Macaca fascicularis: one gene and its partners. The protein of the gene in region 3 interacts with the protein of the main gene of each other region in a pairwise test. Links are inferred from orthologs where the notes say so. Each region holds a gene or a part of one and is shown on either strand. Other genes may lie near its edges.

Evidence for each region.
Region 1: the proteins of ZMYND19 (region 3) and SAXO1 interact in binary tests that used the Homo sapiens proteins (3 or more experiments, as listed by UniProt). The two-hybrid records come from large-scale screens. The link is inferred for Macaca fascicularis from reciprocal best matches to the Homo sapiens genes ZMYND19 and SAXO1.
Region 2: the proteins of ZMYND19 (region 3) and LZTS2 interact in binary tests that used the Homo sapiens proteins (3 or more experiments, as listed by UniProt). The two-hybrid records come from large-scale screens. The link is inferred for Macaca fascicularis from reciprocal best matches to the Homo sapiens genes ZMYND19 and LZTS2.

What each region holds. Positions count from the first base shown.
Region 1 is NC_088389.1:79,841,780-79,845,523, reverse strand, and holds the start of SAXO1 (stabilizer of axonemal microtubules 1), read right to left. Parts: upstream 2,787-3,744; 5' UTR 2,100-2,786; coding exon 2,053-2,099; intron 1-2,052. UniProt on the Homo sapiens protein: May play a role in the regulation of cilium length. Stabilizes microtubules at low temperature.
Region 2 is NC_088383.1:109,955,071-109,958,814, reverse strand, and holds the start of LZTS2 (leucine zipper putative tumor suppressor 2), read right to left. Parts: upstream 2,356-3,744; 5' UTR 2,160-2,355; intron 1,764-2,159; exon of another isoform or gene 1,733-1,763; 5' UTR 1,470-1,732; intron 826-1,469; exon of another isoform or gene 423-825; intron 1-422. UniProt on the Homo sapiens protein: Negative regulator of katanin-mediated microtubule severing and release from the centrosome. Required for central spindle formation and the completion of cytokinesis.
Region 3 is NC_088389.1:1,732,422-1,736,065, reverse strand, and holds the end of ZMYND19 (zinc finger MYND domain-containing protein 19), read right to left. Parts: intron 1,440-3,644; coding exon 1,259-1,439; intron 972-1,258; coding exon 828-971; 3' UTR 368-827; downstream 1-367. UniProt on the Homo sapiens protein: May be involved as a regulatory molecule in GPR24/MCH-R1 signaling.

The DNA of each region.
Region 1 (3,744 bases), about 78 Mb from region 3:
AAGAATGTTTGAAGGTTGCTGAAGCTGAGATTAATGAGACAGATGGATCACAAAGCACTTGAGAAGGTGACAATGAAACTGGAATTCAGAAGACAGGAGAGACTACTGGCTGAAACCATAAAGTGGAGGAGAAAATACAGGATGAGGGAAGAAGAAAAGGAGAAAAGACACAAGAACAGACCCTGCTTCCAGTGGAAAGTGACTCCTTGGCAGGGACACAATGAGAACAGAGTCAGAGAAGGAACACCCAAATGAGTTATACCCCTACTGCAGGGGCAGGAGGGAGACTTCTCACTACATATGCTCTGCATCTCTTAATGAGCATTCTGCCTTCCTACCTAGACTGCACGCTGTGCAAAGATGGAGATTATGTCTTATACATTTCAATCCTGATGCCTAGAACAATGCAGGACACAGGAAGGTAATGTAAAGGGTCCCAGGAGAAAGAAGGCCTTAGAGGCAGGGCATAGTGGCTCATGCCTGTAATCCCAGCACTTTGGGAGGCCAAGGTAGGCAGATCACCCAAGGTCAGGAGTTCAAAACCAGCCTGGACAATATGGTTGAAACCCTGTCTCTACTAAAAATACGAAAATTAGCCAGGCATGGTGGCGTGTGCCTGTAATCCCATCTACTCAGGAGGCTGAGGCAGGAGAATCACTTGAACCCTGAGGCGTAGGTTGCAGTGAAGCGAGATGGCACCACTGCACTCCAGCCTGGGCAACAGAGCGGGACACTGTCTCCAAAATGAATAAAAGAAAGAAGGCCTTAGAAGAAAAGGTTTTGCTGGGTAACATGTAGTCCTAGACTATACACTGCTCCGGCCCCACTTAACAAAGCTCAAAAGCAAGACCCACATTTGTACATGTTCTAGTTCAGTGAGTCCCAGTCCTAGCAAATGGTCAGAATCACCTTTAGACAGTTGGCAGGACCCACCCTGAGATTATAAATTCAACGGCCTGAGCAACTGATAGTTTTCAAACTCCCTGTGTGATTCTAATCAGCAGCCAGAGTTGGGAACCATGCATTGATGCCAGAGATGTAGAAGGTTGCTGATCCAGTTTGTAGAGTGCCCTTTAATTATCCACACTACTGATACCATTTTTATCTGCATGTGTCATATTTGCCCTTTTTTCAGATTTCAGGACACTAACATATTACGCACAGTCCATGTACCAGGACTCACGTACATGATCTTAACTCTTATCATAGTCCTATGAGGTAGGTATTGTTGGTACAGATGAGGCACCTGTGACCGAGAGTTTATTTACCAATCCAAGATCCCACAATTAATGACAGCCCAGGAGAACTGACCTCAGAACCCTCTTGCCTGTTGCTCCTCTGCTGCCCACTCCCTGCCCCAGCCAAGCAGAAACCCAGCTGTCCTGGGAAGCAGGTAGAAGGAACATCTAAGAGATCATGTGAGAGACAGCAGACCAGTCAGCCCGTGGGACTCTGACTAAAGCCCATGATTTCCCCCAGGACCACCTTTACTGTGCTTCCACCCAGACACGCTCCTTAAAGGTGAGAAGAGAGACCTGGCCAGGCCAGGCGACTGTGAAAGTAATGTTTTCATTATTCTCATTCAACTCTACACAATGTGGAAACAAGTTTTACTAATACCTTATACTTCTTTGACAAAGTAACAATCTCTCTGAATGAGAAATTCAGTTACACTACAGGAATTCTCCTCCCATCCTATCACTTTCCCAAAAGGAGCAAGACTGGTCCCACTGGGCCAGGTGTTCTCCCTCCTTGGCTGACACTTTCTGGGCTTCAGGGAAGGGAGTGCAGGCTGCCCGGCCACGCCCATTTCAGCCTTCCTGCAGTTCTGAAGTGAAGCGGCACAGAAGGCCCAAAAACAGACACATTTGCCAGAACTGATGTTGCATCTGCGGGCACAATGCTAGTTGACAAAATTGTGGCCTAAAAAACGTGACAAGTGAACGAACCCACCGTGATGCCGCCTGATGAAGCAGCTGGGGGAGGCTTCCCTTCCTCGGGAGTCTGAAAGCCCAGGCTCCCCCAGCCTTGCCCTGAGCACAGCCACCTTACCCGCAGGAGCACAGTTCACAGATGCACTTTGTCTTCATAGCGGCCATCCCGAGGCCCTGACGTCCCCTCAGAGCATCGCCAGCCGCAGCCGACTCCTGGACCCCAACCACCTGGCTTGGGGCACGCCCAGGCTCGAGGGCCTTGGCAGGTGTTCTGTTTACTCGAAGGAAAATTTAAGTGGCCCTTTCGCAATGTCCTGTCGTCTGTTGCCCTCCTGGAGCTGGCCTAGCGCGAGGGAGCAGCCAGGGAGACCTCACCCTGCATACCACCGCCCCAGCCTCCACAGCCCAGACTCAGGCACCTGGAGCTGCTGACTGGGCCCCAGGAAGCTGCGGGGTCCGTGCCCAGGTAGCCTCTGTGATGTCGCCAGGACCAGGAGGGGCACACCTCAGGTGACAATTACATCACAAGAGCCGTTTGTGAGGTCGGGAAGCTCCCAGCAACTCACTGGCAGGCCCAGGACGGGGGTTCCCCAGTGGACCTTGGAGAAACCTGGAAAAGGTGGAAGTCACTAGAAAGCTTCTGGTGCAGTAAATGGTCACACGTGCAGAAAAGATGAAAACTCCCTCACCATCACTTTGGGTGGCATTTGCTGTCTCTAGGATCCATGGTGCCCCCTCTTAGGGGAATACAGCCTTTGACTTCCAAAAGGCTTGCCTTGAATAGGGTTTCCAGATCTTCCTGTGGAAACCTAAGCCTTTGGCTTCAGATGTCTGTTAGAATTGCTCTCACCCACAGACTGGAGAACACAGCGGTTTAAGAGAGCCCAGGCCTTCTCTGCTCAGGTGGGTTCTCAATCACTTCTCCAGGTGCTGGTAATGATGCCTTGAAGCAGACGCGCTCAAATTTTAGTGGGCATCAGGACCACCTGGCTTGATGAAAACCAGATTGCCAGACCCCACCCCCATAGTTTCTGATTCACTGTTTCTAGGGTAGGCCAAGGACTTCTATTTCTTACAAGCTCTCAAGTAATGCTGGTTCTGCTGGGCCAGGGACCACACTTTAAGAACCACAGCTTTTGAGATTCCTTTACACCCCCTGAAATAGTGTTTCTTCCGCTTACCTGGTCCCGAGAGCACACCCCCAACCAGAAGGCTCCCCTACATCAAAACCTCTAGTCCAGGAATCTAGCTTCAACAAGAAGCCAGGTGATTCTGGTCATGAAGCAAGTTCCAAAGACACTGCTCTGGCCAGTTGTTTGGACTTAAACCAGTTTGGCTTCCTGCTTATGGGAAATGGGAACTTAAAGTATTGACAATCTTTGTGCTTGTTTTTCTTTCCTATGCTTCCTAACTCTTTCCATTCATTTTAGTGAATGAGCCAGTCAGAGGCATCTTCGACTGCAAGACACTTAATATTCAGAGGGTTTTTTGTTTTTTTTTTTTTTTTTTGGTTTTTAGGTTTTTTTCTTCAATATTAGGCTCTAGAATAGAGGTCAGCAAACTATTGTCTGCAGGTTGGCCACCTGACTCTATCTGGCCATTGAGCTAAGAATGGTTTTCATATTTTTTAATGGTTGAAAAAATTAAAATAATACTATTACATGACATATGAAACTTACCTAAAATTCAAATTTCAGTGTCTATAAATAAAGTTTTGAATTTTTTCAAAAAATTTGTGTAAACATTCCTGATTTTGCCTCTCGGCCCACAAAAGCTAAAATATTCACTATCTGACTTTTTACAGAGAGAG
Region 2 (3,744 bases), on a different chromosome or scaffold from region 3:
GGCCGTCCCCCACTCTCCGGTGCCGGGGCCCCGCGCCCTAGCGCGAGTCGGAGGCCGAGGCTGGGTCCGCACCTGCCCCACCAGGGGCGGGTTGGAGGCGGCAACCTGGGCTTCGCAGAGGCGGCGCCACCTGGCGGCCCGCTCGAAGAACACACCCAGCCGCCCCCCACCACGCGGGCCCTGCCCCACTCCCCGGCACGGTGCCCTTTTCCCCGCGAACCCAGGCCGGCCTCTGGCGCGGCCCCGTGCTCCCCAGCCTCCCCTCGGGACCGCTTGCTAAGACAGAGGTCATTTCTCGGAGAGAAGCGGCCCCTGGCTCCCCAACAATCACTGGGGCAAACCGGTCCAAGCCTACAGCCCAAACCTACAGGAGCCGCACGGCAGACAACATTCCACTTTCTCAAGGTCGCAAATATTCTCACCTTCTCGCACACAATACAGTCTCCCTAACACCCACGCGACCTTTCCCACATGCAGCCTCACCACGCAGCCACAAGCAGTCTCAGCTGTCACGTGGGTCCGCGTTCCTTCTTTCCATAATCTTCCAGTCCAACTCACACACAGACACGGTGTCACAGGCCTGTTGGGCACAGGCTTCCACAACAATCCGCAGTCCTTCGCACCCAGTCACTGTCTCAAATGCACTTAGTCTCCTAACCATCTTTCACGCATTGACAGCCTCTATTCACAGTCACTCACACAGACAACTTCTTACAGCCATGCTTCGCAAATATTCTACCGCACAGCCTTTCCCCTAGGGGTCTCGGTGACCCGGTCAGGTCAGCTGATGCCTGCATCCCTGGGCAAAGACAGCCTTTCTCCCCTAACCACCCCCTCCCCCGCAGGGCCAAGGCCTGCCAGAGCTCGCCCGGGCCCCAGGAAGGAGCATCCCCCCCTTCCAGGCCACAGCCCTGGCCGGCTCTCAGCTCTATTTTTAGCTCCATGGACAGGGTTGTTTTTCTTTTTCCCTGGAAAGGGAAACACAGCCCAGCCACCCTCAGACTCACCCCAGACCCTCAGCCTCACAAGAACAGACTGAGACCCTCTCCCCAACAGAGCCCCCTCCTCTGGCCTTGCCCTGATCCCTGCCTCCTGGGGCACCGAGAACCTCCTCCCCTTTCTGGCAGCCTGCCCAGCTCAGGCGGCAGCTGGGCTCAGCGTGTGTGTAGGGGTAGGGGGTGGGGCGGGAAGAAGGCATCGAGCTACTGCCCACTCCCTCATTCCCTGGGGGCAGGGGCTCGTCCTCCTTTTTCTAGGGGTCTAGGCCCACTCTGGTATTGAGGGGGCGTTTACACTCATGCATTTTCTGCGGGGGAGGAGACTCCTACTCCGGCAAGGAGTGGAGGTGAGGGTAGGAAGGGGACCCGCAGGCGCTCAGGCAGCTGCTCTCTGGGCTGGCGGGAATAGGCGGGGGCAGCTGTCCACTGCCATCAAGGGCCTGTCTCCGAAACCTTCGGGGATGCAGATACCAAGAATGTGCTGGGGGAAGGACGTACAGGAGCCCAGGTTAACCCCAGCCCTGCCCAGCAGCCCGGCCCTCCTGCTCCGCCCCGGCTCCAGGGGGCGCTGTGCTCCGGTTCCTGGGAGAGGGCTTATCCCGGCTCCAGGAGGAGAATGGAACGCCGTCCGGCCTGGAACCAAGCAAACGGGCCTCGTGGTGGGGTTGGGGGCACAGGCCACTGGTGTGCGGAGCTGTCACGTGCCCGGCGCCTGTTTACGTCTTCGTCTTCACCTGTGGGCGGCCAGGAAGCAGGAACCTCTGGGTGCGTCCCACCCGGCCCGCCCCCGTCGGCGGTCACGGGGCTGCCCCTTTCCCGCACCCAATGCGCGACCGCAGAGTGCCCTGCCCGCTGTGGGTCCGCGCGGGCTGATTGGCGCTGTCCCTGGGAGTGCAAGGGTACAAAACTGGGCGCGTCCTTTCCGACTGCATGTGTGTTCGCGTGTCCCAAGTGCGGGCGTGGGTCTGTGCACGCGTGTTTGGGGCCCGTCGGCGTGCGTTTTCGTGTCGCTTCCCTGTTTGGACTCTTCGCGGGCGACCCACCAAGTGCGGACCCCCCTCCTCACTCCACCCCTAGCTTCCCCAGAAGCGGAAAGTTCGTTCAGGAGCGGGGATGTGCGGGAAGCAGGAGTTCCTGCACCTCCGCGGCCCCACCACTCACCCAGCGCCACCTGCGCCTCGGCTCCAGCTCTGGCCCCGCTCCTGCTCCAGCGCGCCCACCTCCTCGCCGCGACAACGCCGCCTCCCTAGCCCGCTCCGAACTCTGGGCTCCGAACTCCGGGCTCCGGGTTCCGGGCTCCCGGCTCCCGGCTCCGGGCTCCCGGCTCCCGGCTCCGGGCGCCCGCCTGGCCTGACCTGGTGGGGCGGGGCGGGGCGGCTCAGGCCGCGCCCCCCACCCAGGGAGGGGAGTGGTCTGTCCCGCACTCCACCAACAGCCTACCCAGTTCCCTGCCCCACAGGGACTCGACGGTGGCCGAGGCTGCCCCTCTGGCCTTCGCCTTCACAGTTTACTGGATTTGGTTTTTGACGTGGGGAAGGGGGCGAGCATCTCGTGACCGATAATTCGACTACCTGGCTGCCTTAAACTAAGCTGCCCTATAGAACTTGACTCTGCCACCCTCCCTGCTCCGTTGGGAGCCCAACCCGGTCCACTCTTGACCCAATCCCCAAATATAGGGAAAACCCCTGGGAATCAGACAAAGGAGGCTCGAGTTTCACCAGAGCAGCTCCCACCTGCCCCCACCATGCACACACCTCAGCGTGGGGCTGCCCAAGCAGAACCAGCACAGCCCCCTCCCTAGAGTAGGTGTCTGCCCAGGTGAGCAGGCCTGCCGGTTCTGACCCCCCACGGGGCATGACTGGGCTTCTCTTAGACTCATAAAATCCTACCCACAGGCACAAACAGGAAGTTGGCCTGTATTGCAGGGAGGCCCCAGGGGCTCCCTCCCGCCATGGCACTCAAGGCAGCATGTGGGAAGGTCTTTAGGTATCTGGGCCGTATGGGCTGCTGGAGACCTCGGTGAGTTGTTGTTTTTTGAGACGGAGTCCCGCTGTGTCGCCCTGGCTGGAATGCAGCGGGCGCGATCTTGGCTCATTGCAACTTCAGCTTCCAAGGTTCAAGTAATTCTCCTGCCTCAGCCTCCAGAGCAGCTGGGACTAGAGGCATGTGCCACCACGCCCGGCTAATTTTTGTATTTTTAGTAGAGACGGGGTTTCACCATATTGGCCAGGCTGGTCTCGAACTCCTGACCTTGTGATCCACCCACCTCGGCCTCCAAAAGTGCTGGGATTACAGGTGTGAGCCACCACACCCGGCCGAGCTGTTTATTATTAAACCCATCCACAGCAGAGAGGAAGCTGCTGGAGGACCAAAGCTGCCCCCTCATAGCCAAGTGTGACATACACTATCAGTTAGAGGACAAGGCTGTAGATCCAACTGGACCTGGCTTAGCCAGGCCTTTCCTGAGTTCTCGGGGAAATGTTTTTGAATTTTTTTTTTTCTTCCCAATCCACTGAACCTGTGAGTCAGGGAGATTCTTAACATCCAGTTGGGTGTAGGCAGACCAGTCCTATCCCAGGGAATCTGCACAGGCCCTAGGGACCCCCCACTGCTTTCTAGAATCCAGGGATCTGAACAGGCTGGGCCCGATCATGATGTGGGTGTTTAAGGCAGGTATGGAGTAGAATGTGTTTGTGCAGGGGGTGGGGCTGGGGAGAGTATTAGCTTCCCCTCCACCTCATCCTTC
Region 3 (3,644 bases):
CTGTCGGCAGCAGGCCTGCTGAACATGCCCTGTGGATTCTTCTGGGCAGAAGCTGTCACTGCTGAGCTCCCAGCCACTTCACACATAAATCAGGCAAGAACTAACCGATGTCAGGGGCTAGAGCATCCCACTCCCAATGAACCAGTGGGCAGCTGACTTAGCACCTGCACCAGTCCTGCCACAAGACAAGGACAGAGTCTCACTCACGCTCACTGCTGGACTCAGGAAGTTTTGAGTTCACCTGCTCCTGCCCACCAGGAGCAAGGGCACGTCCTCCTGCCCTCACAGGGATTCGGCTCCACTCAAGATGACCTCACCCTCAGCAGCACAAGAGGGAGGCAGAGCAGAGAATGTCCGAGACGCCGGATGATTCCACCCCTTTACTTTGCCTTTGTGGACACAACTCCTGTGCAGGCCGCGCTCCATGGGGCTCCCGTGGCCCAGGGGAGAAGCTTCAGCTACAGGACAGTTTTTAGACACGTGGCCTGACCGTTTGCCATTCGAGGATTACAGCAAATGATTCTATTTGTAATTTCTACCCTTCCCATTGCCTCCCCCCAAAAAAAACTGTACATGAGTTTACAAACATATTAACATATAAATAATGAGAACCGTCCTGGTGGGAGCCTCCTTCGTTGTCTCTGCTGGAGATGAACACTGAGGGGCGCTATAACCACACAGACTGCCTGTGACATCGGGAGTCTCACAGCGGTTGTCCTGGGCCCGCAGCTGGCTTTTTCGGCACCTCCAGGTTCAACCACCAGTCTGTCTCTGCTGTGCCCAGGGTAGAGCCCGGGGGCTGCGAGTGTGTGCGGCTCTCCCGCCCGTCATCGCTCTGGCTCAAGCTCATGCTGGAAGGGACGCTTCCTCTCCCGACAGTGCTTCTTGTGGGCTGGCCAGTCCTTCTGCTGGCACTGGGAGCCACAGTACCGGGCCACCTGGCAGCGCCCACAGATGTTGAACTCCCGGAGCTGAAATACAGAACACTTGTGGCTTCACCGTCATGCCTGGGATGCAGTGTGGGGCAAAGACTGCATCGCACGGACAATCTGACGGACCCAGCAAAACACCATGTACCAAGGCTGGAGGGCCTGGGCCCTGGTCAGGCCAGCACAAGGGCAAAGGGAGACCACCCTGGTGGAAAAGCCCAAGTGGTCTCCGGGGAATGGGGCCCTGCGGTAGGAGGGCAAGACCCCAAACCAAGGCTGGGCTACAGGGTAGAGGTGCCAAGGACCAGGCCGCACTGCAGCACACCCACCTGCTTCTCAATCACCGTGCAGGGAGGGTAGTGGCACTCGTAGTAGGTGCAAGAATTCTCCTCCTCTTCCACTACATCCCCGTTGGCATTATAGTACCGGGTCACATTTAGGACAGGAAACTGTTCTTCTATAGGGTCTGTAGGCAGCTGCTGAATTGCAAGCCAATACAAGCTTTGCTCCCTTAAAGAAAGAAGCAGACACTTCAGTGCACTCTGGCCAAATGGGGCCAGCACACGGCGGGTGATGTGATGAGTCCAGAGAGTGCCATCCTGCCCAGGACACCCGGCCCGAATTCCAGTCTCCTCTGGCGCATCCCTGCTGCATGTGCTTTTCACCACCTGACAGTAAATATTGTGTCTCGTCTTCCCACTCACCCATAAGCACCGCCTCATCTGTCACCCTGTCCCCAGCACCTGGGACTGATAGGCACACAGTAGGCAGGAGGCAGTGCCCAGGTCAGGCCCCTGCACAAAGCAAGGCAGCCCCTCTCCTTGCCCTTGACCTGCAGAGGTGCCCATTACTGCCCCGTCGGTCCACCTCCCCTTCCATGCCGGGAGCTGCCCTACGTTCATCTGTACACGTGTTGTACAGAACAGGCCCTGGAGCGAGCACTGGCTGCTCAGAGGCAAGTGTGGGCAGCCCCAGCCCTGCTGCATCACAGAGTAAAGGAGCTGCATAAACCACCCCAACAACCCTGTTCTCTGAGGCCAGACCCTGAGGAGACTTGGTTAAAAGGTGGAAGGATCAGGACACGGGAAGATGTTAGTGAGGTCCCACCAGACAGAGGCAAGTTTCAGACACTGCTGGCTTCTGAAGACAGAAAAGGAAAACACCCCTTTGCCAACAGGCCCCTTTTGTGGGGGCTGAGCTGACACAGTGCCAGGAAAGGAGAGCAACAGCCCAGGCCTGACAAAGACAGGGTGACCCCATCACAAAGAGCCAGACCACAGGGAGGCCACAAACTGGGATCCAGAAGGACGCACAGCACCCAGCCATTCAGGACGTCAGGCCCACACTGGCTAGCTGACTTCTGCTTGTGGCCTGGGGTGCTGACCCAGCACAAGAGGCCCAATACCTGCTGGGTTCTAAAACCCCATGTTGGCAAACCAAAGATGGCCGAGCCTGATCAGTCCTGAGCCACCGCAGGCCACCTCCTGCAGCAGGGGGTTGTATAAGGCCGCAGCCTCAGCGCAACTCATCCTGCCGTGCCCACGGAGAATGGGCTGACCAGGAGCATCAGCTCAACACCCCCTTTCCAAGCAGCTATTCTTAACGGCAGTTATCTCCCCTCCTGACTAGGAAGGGTGCTGAGAGGATTCAAGGTAACATTCAGTCACAGGCTGGCCGGACCCTGAGTCTTATTGACAACCAGCTGAAATGACCTGTACCACGGCAGGGACAGATGACATCGCCTGGTGGAGTGGTGGGCAGTGGGGGAACTTGTGGAGTCGGGGAGGGCCCATCCCAGCATCAACACTGAGCATGTATCAATGTGGGACAACGCAGGAGGAGATGCTACGGATGCTGCTTTGCCTGCCACGCACTCCTTCCCCTTCCCGTGGATGACACAACTCTGACTTCATGTAGAGAAGTGATGCAAAGCATGCTAACTACAGTTCATCCCAGGGCTTCCCCAGACACCACCAGAACAGGGTGCCTGCTTCACTCCACAGGTGCTGGGTAGTGCGCATGCCGCCTCTCGGAGAGGAGCCGGGAGTGGGGGCGCAGAGCTGGAGGCAGCAGCATCCCTGGCTCTCCACATTTCAGTCAGGATACCAAAACGTACCCTATTTTGTTTCAGCCAAATTGAGCTGTTTCTGTTTCTTGCAACCCAAAGTTCCGGCTAACATAATCCCCGAAAGAAAAAAAAATCCCATCCAACAATCATAAGAGGATTGGCGTCACTCACAAGCAGTATGAGAGAAGGGTCAAAACTCTAATATTAGAGCAGGGACCGGGCATGGTGGTGCACACCCGTTATCTCAGCTACTCAAAAGGCTGAGGCGGGGCCAGGCGTGGTGGCTCACACCTGTAATCCCAGCACTGTGGGAGGCTGAGGCAGGCGGATCATCTGAGGTCAAGAGTTCAAGACAGCCTGGCCAACATGCCGAAATCCTGTCTCTACTAAAAATACAAACGTTAGCCAGGCGTGGTGGCGGGCACCTGTAGTCCCAGCTACTAGGAAGGCTGAGGCAGAACTGCTTGAACCAGGCAGGCAGAAGCTGCAGCGAGCCAAGATCGCGCCACTGCACTCCAGCCTGGGCGACAGAGCCAAACTCCGTCTCAAAAAAAAAAAAAAAAAAAGGCCGGGCGCGGTGGCTCAAGCCTGTAATCCCAGCACTTTGGGAGGCCAAGACGGGCGCATCACGAGGTCAGGAGATCGAG